2 linked regions of the Yarrowia lipolytica genome follow. The protein of the gene in region 2 interacts with the protein of the main gene of each other region in a pairwise test. Links are inferred from orthologs where the notes say so. Each region holds a gene or a part of one and is shown on either strand. Other genes may lie near its edges.

Evidence for each region.
Region 1: the proteins of YALI1_B15482g (region 2) and YALI1_D36137g interact in binary tests that used the Saccharomyces cerevisiae proteins (3 or more experiments, as listed by UniProt). The link is inferred for Yarrowia lipolytica from reciprocal best matches to the Saccharomyces cerevisiae genes APM1 and APS1.

What each region holds. Positions count from the first base shown.
Region 1 is NC_090773.1:3,610,825-3,618,528, reverse strand, and holds YALI1_D36137g (uncharacterized protein), read left to right. Parts: upstream 1-4,303; coding exon 4,304-4,466; intron 4,467-4,929; coding exon 4,930-5,240; downstream 5,241-7,704. Other genes in the region: YALI1_D36182g (uncharacterized protein), read right to left, coding at 1-432; YALI1_D36161g (uncharacterized protein), read left to right, coding at 2,441-3,709; YALI1_D36122g (uncharacterized protein), read right to left, coding at 5,577-6,341; YALI1_D36100g (uncharacterized protein), read right to left, coding at 7,231-7,704. UniProt on the Saccharomyces cerevisiae protein: Component of the adapter complexes which link clathrin to receptors in coated vesicles. Clathrin-associated protein complexes are believed to interact with the cytoplasmic tails of membrane proteins, leading to their selection and concentration.
Region 2 is NC_090771.1:1,544,582-1,552,615, forward strand, and holds YALI1_B15482g (uncharacterized protein), read left to right. Parts: upstream 1-3,685; coding exon 3,686-5,038; downstream 5,039-8,034. Other genes in the region: YALI1_B15460g (uncharacterized protein), read right to left, coding at 995-1,474; YALI1_B15475g (uncharacterized protein), read right to left, coding at 2,415-2,951; YALI1_B15509g (uncharacterized protein), read right to left, coding at 5,493-6,353; YALI1_B15521g (uncharacterized protein), read left to right, coding at 7,542-8,034. UniProt on the Saccharomyces cerevisiae protein: Component of the adaptor complexes which link clathrin to receptors in coated vesicles. Clathrin-associated protein complexes are believed to interact with the cytoplasmic tails of membrane proteins, leading to their selection and concentration.

The sequences.
Region 1 (7,704 bases), on a different chromosome or scaffold from region 2:
GGATTCACGAGGGATGATGAATTCACGTGAGGGATGGTTCAGGATCCGGTTCTGCATGGCTTGCATGGCATCCTTATCAGACGCAATCTTGCCAAATTCGCTTGGTGTGTCAATGAACCGTGATGTCTGTACCAGTGGATGTACTGTGAACTGGAAGGGATGGCTTGTGGACAATGCAGCCGCCGAGACAGGAAACGTGTCGCGGACTGGCGTTTTCCTTTGTGTGGTCTCTGGTATGTTGTATCGTAGCTTAGGCAGAATGAAATCGCGTGGCGAAGGCGACCCCAGTGGCTGTGGCTGTGGATTTTCTTCTGAGTGACGGCAGTTAACCACCTCAGAGGTCGGGACAACGGGCATCAAGAGCAGCTTCTTTTCGTTGTATGTGTCATGCTCATAGCACCGAGACTTTTGTTCCGGAGTCTGTGTAGTCATGTTTTCAGTGTCTAGGGACACATGTCGGTGGGACTGAGGCTACTCGACTTGCAGTGTGTGTATTTAGAATATGATCTGGTTGGATTAGCTGCTGCCATGGTAACCACTTCAAAATATTAAATACGAGTACAAGTAGCATGACGTACTGGTACAGTATGTACGAGTACGAGTATATATACTGTACCCTTACATACTGAACTGCTGCCTGTCAGGCTGTATGCGTCAAAAAATACGGGAGTGGATGAAGCACTGTATTGTAGATATAATACAGCCGCTGGCGCAGCTTTGTGTATTTCTCCTCTCAATATGACGGAATTCCCCGGCCCAGTCCTGTTCCGGAAGAGGTTCAAAAATGGGTTAATGGTTGCACCATCCCCACACTGACAGGACAAGAAACCACATGCAGTAAAAAAAAAAAGCCAGCCGCACGTACCATTGGGCACGGATCGAGTATGTGTTCCCCCAAAAACTAGCACTGCGCAATTTCTACGGTTCTGCTGTACTACTTGTAGGGCTGTCAGTACGCATACAGCTGGCCTGCAGTAGACACGTCAACTCTGATGTGGTGGCTAGCAACAAGCAGAAGCTGGAGAAACGGAATTTACTCTATCATGAGTTATGCTACAAGTAACTACAAGTGGACTACTGTAGACTACCACCAGACTATCAGATGTAATGCGACATGAGTCAGTTGACAGGGTGCACATATCTGTTTCTGCCTGTGAGCCATGTCGTGTAGTTTACTAAACGAGATGCCTGTACATGCTCAAGGTATTATGCAGGGCGTATCTTCAGCCATGTTGAGTTCACTCACATCCAGTTGACCAAAAGCACTCGACAGATCGGGGTACACACTTGCAATATTAATTTTATAGTTTGTGCGACCCTGAGACTCCCTCAGCGTGTCCGCGAAGTTTGAGACACACATTCTTCGCTTTTGGATTTTCCCCCTTGGGTATATCCGCCGATGCAGAATGTGTGTTGGGCATTGCCGTCGCACGCCATGCCTCAGGGTTAGATCTGCACTTAATGACATTAGACAGCTACGCGTTCCTGGACTTACGACGACTGTGGTGCTGAAAATTTCTACTTTTCAATAGTACGAGTTGTGCCAGTAGACTGAGGCTATTTTTTGTTCTAGCGAACAGTCAACATCTGGACTAACGACGTTGGTTGTGTGGAGGAGCGGAGCGGAGGAGCCAACCACTTGGCGCATTCGGAGCGTGGTTCAAGCTCATAAAACATTCGCACGCCCACAAATTTCTAGGCGATTAATTTAATAAGATAAGATACAAGCAGTCGTACAAATAGTCTGTTGATAGAGAAGTGGGCTGTGTATCTTCCACGCAACCCAAGACAGCAGTATGTACAGTACAAGTAGTAAGTGGTTTCAACATCAAGCGCTCCAAATGGACAGATTGAACTCCAGGGCAGCCATGGAGCGGCGGCATATACGCGCCAGCCAAGTGCAGGATATATACTGACAGGCAGGTCCTGTTTCGATGAAACTTCCAGCAGCTGCAGCCTGCGCATCACCCCCTGTCGTACGCGTCTGGAATGGTCTTCAAGCCGGGTAACTATATATAGATTTCTCAGCTACTGCTGCTGCTGCTGGGACTCGGGTTAAGTTCGAGACAGAAGTGCAGACGTGGCGAATATAGGGTGATACGACTGTCACGAACCCAACGACACAAAAGACAAGGCGGCTAGAGCAGCTTATGTGTGGCTTATTGCCTTAAAGGGCTAGTTTGGACGAAAGATCCCTTTAATATATCTTTACAAGGGTTGTAAATGGACAGAATAACGCCAGCACCCTGTTGAGAGCGACCTAAATCCGTCATGGTCAGAACTTCAGAAGGTACTCCGCACTAAGGTTTGCTTGTTTGCTGGCATTGTGAAAAGCCAAAAAATGGTAAAGTAGCGGACGCGTGTCTCCACACGTTCTTCCTTCTTATACTCCTACACTTCGCTTCATATACACACATTTCACTCACCACACATACACAACATGGTACGAAACAGTGTGCGAGTGACCCGATTCGCCATTCTGGCGGTCGTGCTCATGTTCCTGCTCTACAAGCTGAGCTCCTCGTCCGTGGACATCAGCGGCATGGTATCCAACAGGACCAAGCCCGATCTGAACGAGTTCAAGACGGAGGTTGAGGAGACCAAGGACACAGTCGTCGAGCATGCCAAGGAGGCTGCCAATGACGTCAAGGAGGGCGCCGCGAAGGCCGTCGACTCCGCCCACAAGGTCGTGAACGCTGCCCCCTCTAAGTTCCAGCCCCTTACCGACTACCAGCGAGAGAACGCCACCTTTGTGACCCTGGCTCGAAACAGTGATCTGTGGGAACTGGTCGGATCTATCCGACAGGTCGAGGACCGATTCAACCACCAGTTTGCATACGACTGGGTTTTCCTTAACGACGCCGAGTTTTCCGATGAATTCAAGAAGGTGACCACCGCCATGTGCTCAGGTAAGACCCACTATGGTAAGATTGGCGAGGAGCACTGGGGATTCCCCGATTTCATTGATCAGGAGCGAGCTGCTCGAACCAGAGAGGAGATGCGACAGAAGCAGGTCATCTACGGTGACTCCATTCCCTACCGACATATGTGCCGATACGAGTCCGGCTTCTTCTGGCGACACCCTATCATGAACCAGTTCAAGTACTACTGGCGAGTCGAGCCCTCCATCAAGCTGCACTGTGACGTCAACTATGATGTGTTCAAGTTCATGCGAGAGAACAATAAGTCCTACGGTTTCACCATTTCTCTGTTTGAGTACGGCGCCACCATTGAGACTCTGTGGGAGACCACCAAGAAGTACATGCACCAGTTCCCCCAGATGGTCCACCCCAACAACCTGATGAAGTTCATTTCCGACGATAACGGAGAGACCTACAACAAGTGCCATTTCTGGTCCAACTTTGAGGTTGCTGACCTTGATCTGTGGCGAGGAGAGGCTTACTCCTCCTACTTTGACTACCTTGACCACGCTGGTGGATTTTTCTACGAGCGATGGGGTGATGCCCCTGTTCACTCCATTGGTGCTGCTCTGTTCGCCGACAAGGACTCTATCCACTACTTCGAGGACATTGGATACTTCCACAACCCTTTCAACAACTGTCCCACCACCGAGAAGATGCGACTGGATGGTCGGTGCATGTGCCAGGCCAGCGATAACTTCTCTTGGCACTCCTACTCTTGCACTGGCAAGTTCTTCGATGCTCAGGGCATGACCCGACCCGAGGGATGGGAGAAGCAGAAAAACTAAAAAGAGAAGGCTAGAGAGCGTTAACAGTAATTGCACTGGTTGTAGTTAATAGTTGAGAATTTTATTATATATAAAATAAGTGCGACAATTGTACGAGTACAAGTAATGGTGGCTGTGGATGAGCTACTTGTGATAGTAGCTACTTGTAAAAGAATCAATCGATTACATACGACCTTGTCGATTCTATTTTCTTTCAATTCTAGGGAGATACATTTCGTTCCAAAAATGCATGTGAACCGCTCGTTGTGTCATACAAATTGTACTTGTACTTGCTTATAGTATCGCGGTTGTTATAGTATGGTTTTGGGACATACACAGCCTAATTTGCATCTCTTAGCAGTCATTGAATTATGCCTAAGGAAAAAGATCACCGACAGGTAAATACCTCATCTAGTGACTTGATTTTTAATACTTCTCCCTTTTTAATCCCCTCCCTTCGCCTTTCAATAGCTCCAAGTAGCTACAAATAGTCCAACTCACGACAACTACAAGTAGCTTCACTCTGACTTCGTCGCCAATATAGTTTCATTGGGAACTGCAAGCGTGTCATCTGTCTTCACCACTCTCATCAAAGCATCTCAACACACACAACAAATGGCCATCCAATATCTGCTGTTGCTATCGCGTCAGGGCAAGGTTCGTCTGGCCAAATGGTTCACAACTCTCGGCACCCGTGAAAAGGCCAAGATCGTCAAGGAGGTTACTGCACTGGTTCTTTCCAGACGAACAAAGATGTGCAATGTCATTGAACACAAGGGTGAGTAAGATAAGGAGGACGTGACTGCGTTGGCTCGATGACTTACCAAGCGCGAGTTGGTTCACTTCTTGCTGAGCCACCGTCAGAAATTCTTCCAAGAAGAGTACCTCTACGAAACACCTCATCCACAATGAGTGCTGTGGCTTAGTTCATTGTGCTGTGAAGTGGCAAGAAGAGCGCTGCAGAGCTACACTTTCTTGGGGTCGGTAAAAATGGCTCACTGATCGCCGAGGTGTCTGATACCGAGCTATCGGAAACATTACAGCAGTAGTGACGACGCGAGAGAGAAAAGGAGCTGTGCGGCAGATGACGACAAGACTACACGACCCGTCAGAAGACTGCACAAAAGGAGTGGACAAATAAGTCACTTTGTATTGTTGATTCAATACTGCGGCAGTCTCCCAGTCCAGTGGGCAATGTTGTGTCCTCAGTGATGCACCACCACGAAAAAAGACTAACACAGAAACCAAGGTTGTTTTCAGACGTTATGCATCGCTATTTTTCATTACAGGCATCGACTCCGATGACAACGAACTAAACACTCTCGAAATCATTCACAGATACGTTGAGCAGATGGACAAGTATTACGGCAACGTGTGCGAGCTCGATATCATCTTCAACTTCCAAAAAGCATACTACATTCTCGACGAGATTGTGGTCGGAGGAGAGATCCAGGAGTCGTCGAAGCGAGAGGTTCTTAGACGAATCTCTCAGCAGGATGCTCTGGAGGCAGCCGAAAACGAGGAGGAGGGTCTGTCGAGACTATTGGCATAATTTGGGACTTTTAGAACATATGGGGTCGCGAGGTAGAATGAATGTACTCATACTAATACATGAGATGTATGTAGACAAATGGACAAATGAGTTTGGGAGCAGTCAGTTGCTCTGAAGCTCATAATATCGTCTCGGTCTCACAAATACAGTAGATTTACCCCTTTGTGTGTGTATGTGGTGAAGACCAAGTTACATAATCGGGTTAGGGTAGGACCCAAATACGGTGATTGCCGTGTTGTTAAATTACATCACAGTGCCTGTGAGAGGCACAAGTATCAAAATTGCGAGTTTCCGGTCAATTGGTCTATTAGTATTCGTCATCTATATATAATTTGCTTACTGGATGGTATGGGTGGCCTCAGCCTCCTTGAGAGTGAGCTTTCCGGAGTAGATCTCGTCGACTCGCTTGTTGATATCAGCGAAGGAGTGGAAGATGTTGTAAGGCAGAGACATCTTCTCGAGGTAGACAATCAGATCCTTGCCAGCCTTGGCGAACAGCAGATCTGTCTCCCTTGCGGCAGAGAGATCAGAGACACCGTCACCACAGTAGAACATGGTGGGTCGCTTGCCCTCGGGGAGCTCGGCGTAGGGCTTGATGCATCGGGACTTGTCGTGGCCAAAATGCGACTCGTCTCGGTAGACAATGTTCCACTCTCCATCAGGCTCGATCTTCACATCGTTAGCGATGATCTCAATGTCATCTGCGGCCTCCTCTCCAACCAGCTTCTTGAGCAGAGCAAAGATGACGGGCTTCATACCAGATGAAACCACGACCACGGGAATATTTCGTTCCTTGCACCACTTGTAGAAGACGGCAAACCCGGGATCGAGGTCAATGTTATTGAGAAGCTGCTCGATACACTCGGGGAAGGGGGTCTTGACGGAATCCAACATGATCTTGAAGGCCTCGGAGAAGGACATTCGCTCGTGGAGGATCTCTGCGTTGTAGAACTTTCGCTTCTCGACTCCAAAGCCGAGATTGTCGGTGAGCCAGTCGTTGGAGTCCTGCAGAGTAATGGTTCCATCCCAGTCGGAAAAGACAATGGCCTTGGGGTTGGTGGCCATTGCGGGAGTACCGTTGATTGTAGAAGTGGCAGTCATTGTGTGTGTGTTGATGAAGAGTGTCTTGTGCAACAGAGAAGAGTATATAAATAAGAGGAGTTGCTACATATATATCAGGAGCCCGACAAGCACTATTGAACCTTGTTCCATATGGAGTTTATGCGTGTTCGGGAGAAGGGCGAAGAAGATGACACGTGGATCGGGGCTGTTGACGTGGGATTTTGTAAGTGACGTTGGTGTGGTTGAAATATATAGTCATTAGTATCACCATCAAATATGTTTTGTGATTCCGTCCCGTTCTTCTCATACTCAACATCCCTTCTAATTACTTCCGTGGACCCAACGTAATAATGCAAGAGGCACAACTGCAGGAGTTTTTAAGGGCCTGTGAGGGAAATAGACGTACTCGTACAGTAGATGGGGTCATAGAAGTTTACGCCGGGAAATGGGCATGGCTGACTGGTGTCCGATGCACTCGCGCCCATTGTGTCAAATCAACACTTGTCCCTCGACTTCTACCAGCTCAATGCACCACCGGCTCATGTACTACGGACATCGCATGTTCAACGGTCAGGACGCTTGACCACAGATGCGACCTCAATTCATAGTATGTACAACCGTTGGTCATACCATTACACGTGAGCTTATTACTCCATGGTTTACGTGTTGCAAGTGGCGTTCAACTTTCGATTTTCAAAAGACAGCCATTGGTGTCTTTTTGGGCCATGGTATTGGCGGAGAGCTTTGACACTTCGGATATAGCTCAGAGTTAGATTCGGCATGACCTGCATATTGAGCATAATTAAGATGTGCCAGGTCTACTGTATGCCAGTGTCTGTGGATGTACGGGCTTTTTAAGGGGCTCAGATGAATTCGGGCAAAAAGCCCAAAAGCGCCGCACCGGGATATTCATGCAGTTGTATTGTACTTACTTGTGTGCACAATTGTTTAGCTCTGTTAATTCCCGCAGCAGTGCCTTTTGGTCATAGATTGGCTTTCCATCCTCATCGACTTCCCTCTCCTCCATCTGGATAACATTGATGTCGTGATCTTCGAGTTCCTTCAGACACACGGGTGGAAGAACATAAGGCGACATAACGTGAGTCAGGAATCGGGTCCAATCGCAGTCGGAAATCTCCTGGGCCGTGCACTCACGTTGAAGTTTAGAGTACAGACAGGCCTTGACCACTGCCTCCACATGCTCAACAGCGCTCATGCCGTTGGTCTCACGATCAGGAGAGCCATTTAGAAGCATAACCTTGGTCTTGGTCAGTCCGTTTTCTAGCTTTGTTTCAATAGAGTCAGCCACGCCTCTCAAGAGTAGAACAGGAATCAGGGATGTGTACAGAGATCCAATGGAATAAATAACACAGTTTGATTCTGCAAGGGCACGCTGGACACG
Region 2 (8,034 bases):
CTGCAACGAAATATAGCTCTTGGGAGTTTTCTATTGGTGGGTCAAATTCTGAGGTGTCAAGTTGCGGCACTAGGCGAGACGTTCTGCGGTAGATGAAGACGTGATATATCTTAGATTGGTCTGTTTTATCGCTAGTAGGCTTTCCCTTCAGTTAGCTGTTGATTTTGCCTATTTTATTCGCTCGCAAACGTCCATGCCTCTCTACGTTTGCAGTCTTCCCTCACAGAAAGTGTGTTGGTTCGCAATAGTGCCAACTTAAGCGGGCTGAACGTTCTGCATACACGTATGTATGAACATGCTAACGATGATGTCATGTAAAGAATACGGGATGTTCGCTATATTCTTGTGGAGTTTTTTCGATTCTGTTTCATCCCCCTTTGCTTCTGTCACATACGTACTCCCATTTTGTCCCATTTACATTCAATATTCCCGTCTTGGCTTTGCCGAAAGCCAACTCTATCACACCGGCAGAGCCATTTGCCAGGTGTTGCGAAATTACGCATGATGAAGATGTCCTGAAAGAGACCGTAAAGTTGGGAGAAATCGAGACGACGACGGTGAAAATTTTGTAAGTGATAAATCTCGTTGATTCGTACAATAAATAGTCTTGCTCTATGATCCGCATACAAGTACGAGCACGTACTGTAAAATTCTTTCCGTTGGCCTATGCAAAACTTTGACCGTTAGGGTCTATCAACTCTACCCTCGCCTGGATGGTATTTCCGTGTTGACAAAGAGGAAGCATTCTCGTCTCCTTCCACCCTCGGTTGTACACACTGGCGCATCGTATCTGCTGTAGCAAAGTTAGTAGCGGCTTGGCTTGCCTATCCACCATCGTGTCTTTTTTCTCTCGCGGCTACTGTACAAGTACGATACTGTACTTCGCAACTCTTTCAGGGCGCTAGTATAAAATGAAAGTTGTGGACGCTATAAATATTGTATCGTAGTCTAGAGCGGTACTTTTACCGCCTCGAATTGCTATGAACGCATGTCACTATTGCGACAAGCTCATAGCAACGCCTCCAAGTTCAGTCCCGATATTACAACCTGTGCCTTGTACAGTAGTCATATCATGCAAGTCTTGAATCACAGAGTGGGATAGGGAGTAAAGTGCAGCTACAAGTAGATCGGCATGGGGAGCGAAGATTTTAACCCCAGTGGTTATTGGTGCTCTCTTCCGCGCTCTGAAGCTTCGGCTTGCAAGTGACATACTTTTGCAAGGCCAGTGGGGGTCCCTATCTGTCGTCCGAACCAAATGGAGTCTACAGATTGAAATTAGCAATAAGCATGGAAAATTTTGATGGTCAGTCACCAGGCTTCTACTTGTAGTACAGTGCATACAATAGGTCAATATTGAGTGCTTATGACGGACCGTTGCTCGATTAGTTATTCCTTGTGGCCCAACCACCGTCCCACCAATATCGAAGCCATGTTGACTTGGCATAATATGGAGCAGCTCAGTCTCCAACACCATGCCTAGAGCAATGAGGGGATATACTTACTTTGTACAACAATTGCTAAGTCGTACCGGTACATAACCGACAAAAATATTCTACTCTCGTCTTCTTCGCTCAAACTTATCGTTACAGCTCACAGTAGTTCCACTCTACAGTAAATCTTCTACTTGCAACGTATTGAGCATGGAGCGTAATTGAGGAACATGTCAGTACAGAATATCGTTCGGTGTCTCTTGTACTAGTTGTTGTCTTTTGGTGTTACCAGCTTATTGTTGTTTCTTTTACTTACCTGGATACGACCCTCTTCCCCATCCCTTTCTCGGACTTTACTTGCAGCGTCTCTCTATGAATACCATCGCACGGCTTTTCTTCCGAATGTAACCCTACAAGCTCACCTCGATCACCCCTCTTGCACCGAAGACTTTATGCTCAATTCTCAAATCCTAGGACGTCGCTTTCCACGCCACTTACACACACCATCTAGATTTATTTCAGCCCTTCTTAGCTTCCCTGCATGACCGTTGTCTTGGCACGTTGCCCAGATGAGACAATAGAAGATGAGTGTGTATGGGGAAGTCTATAGAATTTTTTCAGTCAGTTGACTTACGCGGTTGTCTTGCAATGGGCCAAGCTGTGTCGATAAACCTCTTACTTACTGACTCTTGTCTCCTATGAAACTCACTCCTACGTAAAGCCATTTATGGGGCGGGACTGGTGTAAGTTGCGCCAGGATCATGCAGTCTGGACCAGGGAGTTGAGTGTGGTTTTTTTTAATGCTTCCACCTCTATAATAGTTCTGGCTGTCGTTCAAGTACGAGTTCCTTTGTTCCCAGTTGCAGTTCAGCAGCTGACAGATGTGTGGGCATTGGTCATTATTGATCATTGTAAGCTTGGTATGCTTGCATTCACGCATCTTTTTCTTTTTTTTTCTGCATCTTTCTTTAACGAATACCTCTTTTACTCAACTAAAATCTCGAGAAACTCAACTAGCTCCTTCTGGCCCTCTCTCACTCGCTTTCCTCCTCTTGCCTTGGCTTCAGGACTAGTGTAGAACAAAGGGATCTTCAGCTCCTCAAAACGCCTGTAGATGTAATCGTACATGTTTGTCAGCGTCTTGTGGGCATGTGCATGGAATGCCTTTTCGGCTTCCTCCCTCGTGGGTGGCTTCTTGTTTTTGGATCCCCCCCCTCCTCCTCCGATTCCTACTGATGCTAGGATGTTGTCGACTTTCTCAAAGTCACGTTTCTGGGCCTCTATTTTCGCATCGATCTCATTGTATTCCTTCTCGAGCTGGGCCAGTCGTCTCTGCTGCTCTATCATCAGCCGTTTCACCTCAGTCAGAAACTCAGGCCGTTTCGTGAGTTCATGGACTGTGTATTTGAGAGCATCGGCATAGGTGGTGATTTTCAGTGGGTCCTTCTGAGTAAAGAAAGGCGTACTGTTTGCAGGTTGCACACGCGACAACTCGGCCAGCAGGTTAGTCAGATCAGACATGTCAAGGAGTCATTGAAATGTGGTGATAGAGCAGTGTAACTTGGCCTACTGTAGCGCCTGCATCTCTGAAGCGTCCTCCCTTCAGAACCTTACCCAAGGAAATACACGCGCAGAGAAGACAAGTAAGCATCTCGTTGTCAGTGTGCAGTGTTACGAAACAACTTCCGGTACTGTAGTGTACATACTGTACTTGTACAAGTAGGATCTTATTTTGTATCCAATGCGAGCTCTCTAGTGTCTCCGTTTGGTGGCATATAAAAGTACGAGTACTTAAAATCTCTTCGGTGCGGTCTCATAGTACCCACATTGGCATATCTCCAGGGACTGCTGCAATTTACATTGAAGCAATTGAGTCAATGATATCACACAGCGAGCTACGATGATATCAATGCAATCATTCTTGAACCTATCCCTTATGCCCTCCTCATAATCTCTCTTAGTCAGGATCTCCCAACCCGGACACTGCCACATTCCCAAGCCCAAAGATGAAAAACGATAATCCGTGTAGAAAACAGCACACTCATCCAACGTGTAGGCCCCCTCATATTTAGTCAAAGAACAACACCAAAGACACCGCAGGCCCCTCTTTATTAATTCCACCAACATTCACTTTTCCATCTCCTCGCACCACCCAACTACGCTCTCTCCAAAGTGTGCATCACGTGATTCAAAATTACCTCCACGTCAAAACTCACACGTATCACCACATTCACTACAACACCACACAGCACACAATGGCGTCGGCAATTTTCTTCCTGGACCTCAAGGGAAAGCCTCTGTTATCGCGAAACTACCGCGGCGACATCCCTATGTCGGCTGTCGACAAGTTCCCCATGCTGCTTCTGCAGGCCGAGGAGGAGTCACCTGTCGTCCCTCCGTGTTTCACCCATGAGGGAGTCAACTACCTGTACATTACCCACAACAACCTGTACCTGCTGGCTCTGACGAAGCGCAACACTAATGCCGCCGAGATTCTGCTGTTTTTGCATCGGGTCGTCCAGGTGCTGACAGAATACTTCAAGGGTCTAGAGGAGGAGTCAATCAGAGACAACTTTGTGCTCATCTACGAGCTGTTGGACGAGCTGATGGACTACGGTTTCCCACAGACCACCGACACAAAGATCCTCAAGGAGTACATCACCCAAAAGTCCCACATTCTCGAAATCGCCATGGAAATCGCCCAGGTGCCAAAAGAGCAACCAAGACCCCCTATGGCTGTCACGAACGCCGTGTCTTGGCGTTCCGAAGGCATCAAGTACCGAAAGAACGAGGCATTTTTGGATGTTGTTGAGGCTGTCAACTTGCTGATGTCTCCTTCGGGCCAGGTTCTGCGTTCTGAGGTTCTCGGCTCTGTCCAGATGAAATGTTACCTCTCTGGTATGCCTGAACTGCGACTGGGACTTAACGACAAGGTGCTGTTTGACCATGTGAGCAACACCGGTGCTGGGGGAGGCGGATCGGGCGGATCTGCTCGTGCATCTCGAGGAAAGAGCATCGAGATGGAGGACGTCAAGTTCCACCAGTGTGTGCGACTTTCGCGATTTGAGAACGATAGAACTATTTCGTTCATCCCTCCGGATGGCCAGTTTGAGCTCATGAGCTACCGCCTCAACACCACCGTCAAGCCGCTGATTTGGGTTGACTGCAAGATCAACAAGTACTCCAACACGCGTATTGAGATTCTGGCTAAGGCCCGTGGCCAATTCAAGAAGCGATCGACGGCCAACAACGTCGAAATCCACATTCCTGTTCCCGAAGATGCCGATTCGCCTAAGCTGGCTGCTACCGCAGGTTCCATCAAGTGGCACCCTGAGAAGGCATGTGTCACGTGGAAGATCAAGCAGTTTGGAGGAGGACGAGAATTCTCCATGCGAGCGGAGTTGGGTCTTCCCTCCGTTCAGGACGCTGATGAGCAGGCTAAGAGCAAGAGACCCATCCAAGTCAAGTTCTCCATTCCTTACTTTACTACCTCGGGTATTCAGGTTCGATATCTGAAGATTGTCGAGCCGAAGCTGCAGTACACTTCTTACCCTTGGGTTCGATACATTACCACTAGTGGAGAGGACTACACCATACGATTGGCATAAACGTGACAAGTGCTGCATGAGGGAAGACAGCTCTCCGGTTGTTTTCAACTACGAAGTAAAGCAAGCAGGGATAACAAAGTATGGGCATGGGTGTCCGTACTACTTGTACCAGGAGGATTGATGGTGTGTAAAGTATGGGCATGCTTAGCTATTTTGCAAATTACATACTACTTGGTAGAGGATAGCAACGCATATCGGTGACGTTAGTATGTATTTTATGACTGTATGCTGATGGAGCTGCAAAGGTACACTACGATATTAGAGAATATATAGTAATCATTGTAATTATTGCAAAAGAGTAGATTTTATACACTGCTCAGAACCCTCTAATCACTGCAATTCAGTATTGAAACGGACGATAACTACAGTACAGTACTCACATCTTACATCGTTCAATACTCCATCATCCATTCGTTCGATACTATATACATCCCCTTTTTTGTAGACAATCCCCTTAGACAATTTCGAGAGGGTCCTTGTCGGTCTGAGAGATGATGACCTCAACCTCCCCGTCGTGCTGGTTCTTGAGCTCCTTGGTCAGCAGAGTCTGGAAAGTCTTGAGGTAGCCTCTCTCGGTGTTGGAGTGACCGCAGACAATGGCAGAGGTACCGTTTTCAATGAGACCTAGGGCCTCGTGGTGGCCAAGCTCGCCAGTGAAATGCACGTCTGCATCAACACCTCGCAGAACAGAGGCTCCAGAACCTGCACAGACGGCCACGGAAGAGATCTTAGCCTCAGGGTTCTCGTGCTTTTCGGTAAGGGCAACCTGGACATGTTTGAGTCCCAGACCGGTCTTAACTCGCTTCAGCAGCTCGGAGAAGGTAATGGGTTCCTTGAGACGCACCACTCGGCCCATGCCAGCACCCTCCTGTCCCTGGACGCCATCTACGGGCTGGCAGACCTCCCGGGAGGCCTCGTTCTCCTTTCCGAGAGAGACTACGTCGATCAGGAAGTCATTGACACCTCCAACGGCAGCGTCAACGGCAGTATGGGGGCAGTAGACAGAGATGCCAGCCCGGGCAAGTCGCAGCAGAGATCGCTGCTGGGAGTCCGACTGGGTGATAGACTTGAGGCCTCGGAAAATAAAAGGGTGATAGGCCATAACAACTCCGGAGTTGTTTCGGATAGCCTCGTCGACAACAGAGGTTGTCAGATCGATGGTGAGCAGCACATTGAGCTTCTCCTTCTCAGGTTCGGTGTCCAGAGGGCATTCCAGTAGTAGGCCGGTGTTGTCCCAAGAGGAGTCTGCGAGAGCTCGAGGGTAGAGCTTCTGAATAGAGGAAACAATGGTTTTGACGGCACGCTTGGAAGACATGGTTGTGATGAAAGATTAAGACAGACAGAGGAAGACCTGCTTGAGCAATCGCCGCCTATGCAGTGTGAGCGTAAGTGAATCAGGGTTCATGGGGAACCAGATTGATGAGTAAAAGGTGTGGAAGTGTACTACAAGTACTAGCTAATTAAAGAGGTGGATGGGCGTTTAAATAGATTGATTGTGTAGATAGAATGCGAAGGGAAAGTTATTGCCTTTGTTTTGTTTTGTTTTGCAACTTATTTGCTAATGCAAAACATATGGGAGTCACCTTCAACCATCGATAACAAACTAGTTCAACGTCACTTGACAATGACAGTTATGGAACAAAAGATGCTGAATAGACGTGCCTCGCATCAACTTCTTGCAATAAGTCAATGTGAAGCAGCTCTTTCAAACCACAATGAGAAGAACATCTTCCAAGCGTACCGCATTCTTGTACAGTACGTATTTTGTAGCTCTCGCTGAGCGTACAAGTATGTGTACTGTACACACTGGTGATGTGATGAATTCTTCGTGCTCTGATACCAAAGTGACTCAGACATCAAGATTCTGACTCAAATTGGAACGACCAGCCATAAGGGCTACAGTAACAGTACCACGATTATATAAAAAGATGTTGGACTTCTCTGACACCCCTTGTTCAAAGCAAAAGCTCCAAGAAGTTCTTAAAAAGCCCGGGTTCCTCTAGACACCGAGAAATCACTTGAAAGTTATTTTCAACGGTTGGCCACGCGAACTGGCTGCAGCTTCCTTCGTCTCTACCAGAACGGTAGCTCCTCCGGCCTCCACATCCAACGTTTCCCACCTATCCAGTCAGTACTGTCTATAGTGGTGTCATGGTTAAAGAAGAAGTAAGATGGAACATGAAAGCCCTTTTATAGTGTTGGAAAATCTTCCAAACTTTAAAAAGCCCTAACTCCTCCCAGCTTGCATATTGGAATCAGCGTGCAGGTAACTGTGTTCAGACTGGAGTGTACACTGGTCGACAGTGGCGAAACAACGTATTCATACCCCATTGACACTGATTCACAGGCTACACAGACAGACGAAATAAAGCAGCAAGTTTCACACAGAGACCAATTTCACATCTTCATACACTAAAAATTACATCACTAATTGCATTCTCAAGCATCATCAACATCACATAACAGCAACCCCAACAGCACCCACCACTTAACAACATCCACAATGCTCAGATCCAAGCGAGACGCTTCTAAACGTCGGTTTGACGACGTCAATCTCGACAGTGACTCCTTCTCCGACTCCAACGATTCATATTCCGACGATGAGACATACGAGAAGGTGCCTCAGACCCGTCTTAAGATCAAAATGAAGGAACAGGACCCTGGAGATGCCACATCAGGTCTCGATACCAAGGTGCATTCGACCTATTCGGAGATCCCTGACGACTACGTGCCCGACAGTGTATCCAACATCTTCGGTAAGCACGACTTCTCATACCTCAAGCTGAAGCCAGACCATGCCGCTCGACCCTTGTGGATTAACCCCGAGGACGGTAGAATCATTCTGGAATCCTTTTCGCCACTTGCAGAGCAGGCTCAGGACTTCCTGGTGACCATTGCAGAACCCATCTCTCGTCCCTCGCACATTCATGAATACAGAATCACCACTTACTCTCTGTACGCGGCTGTCTCAGTGGGTCTGGAGACTTCTGACATCA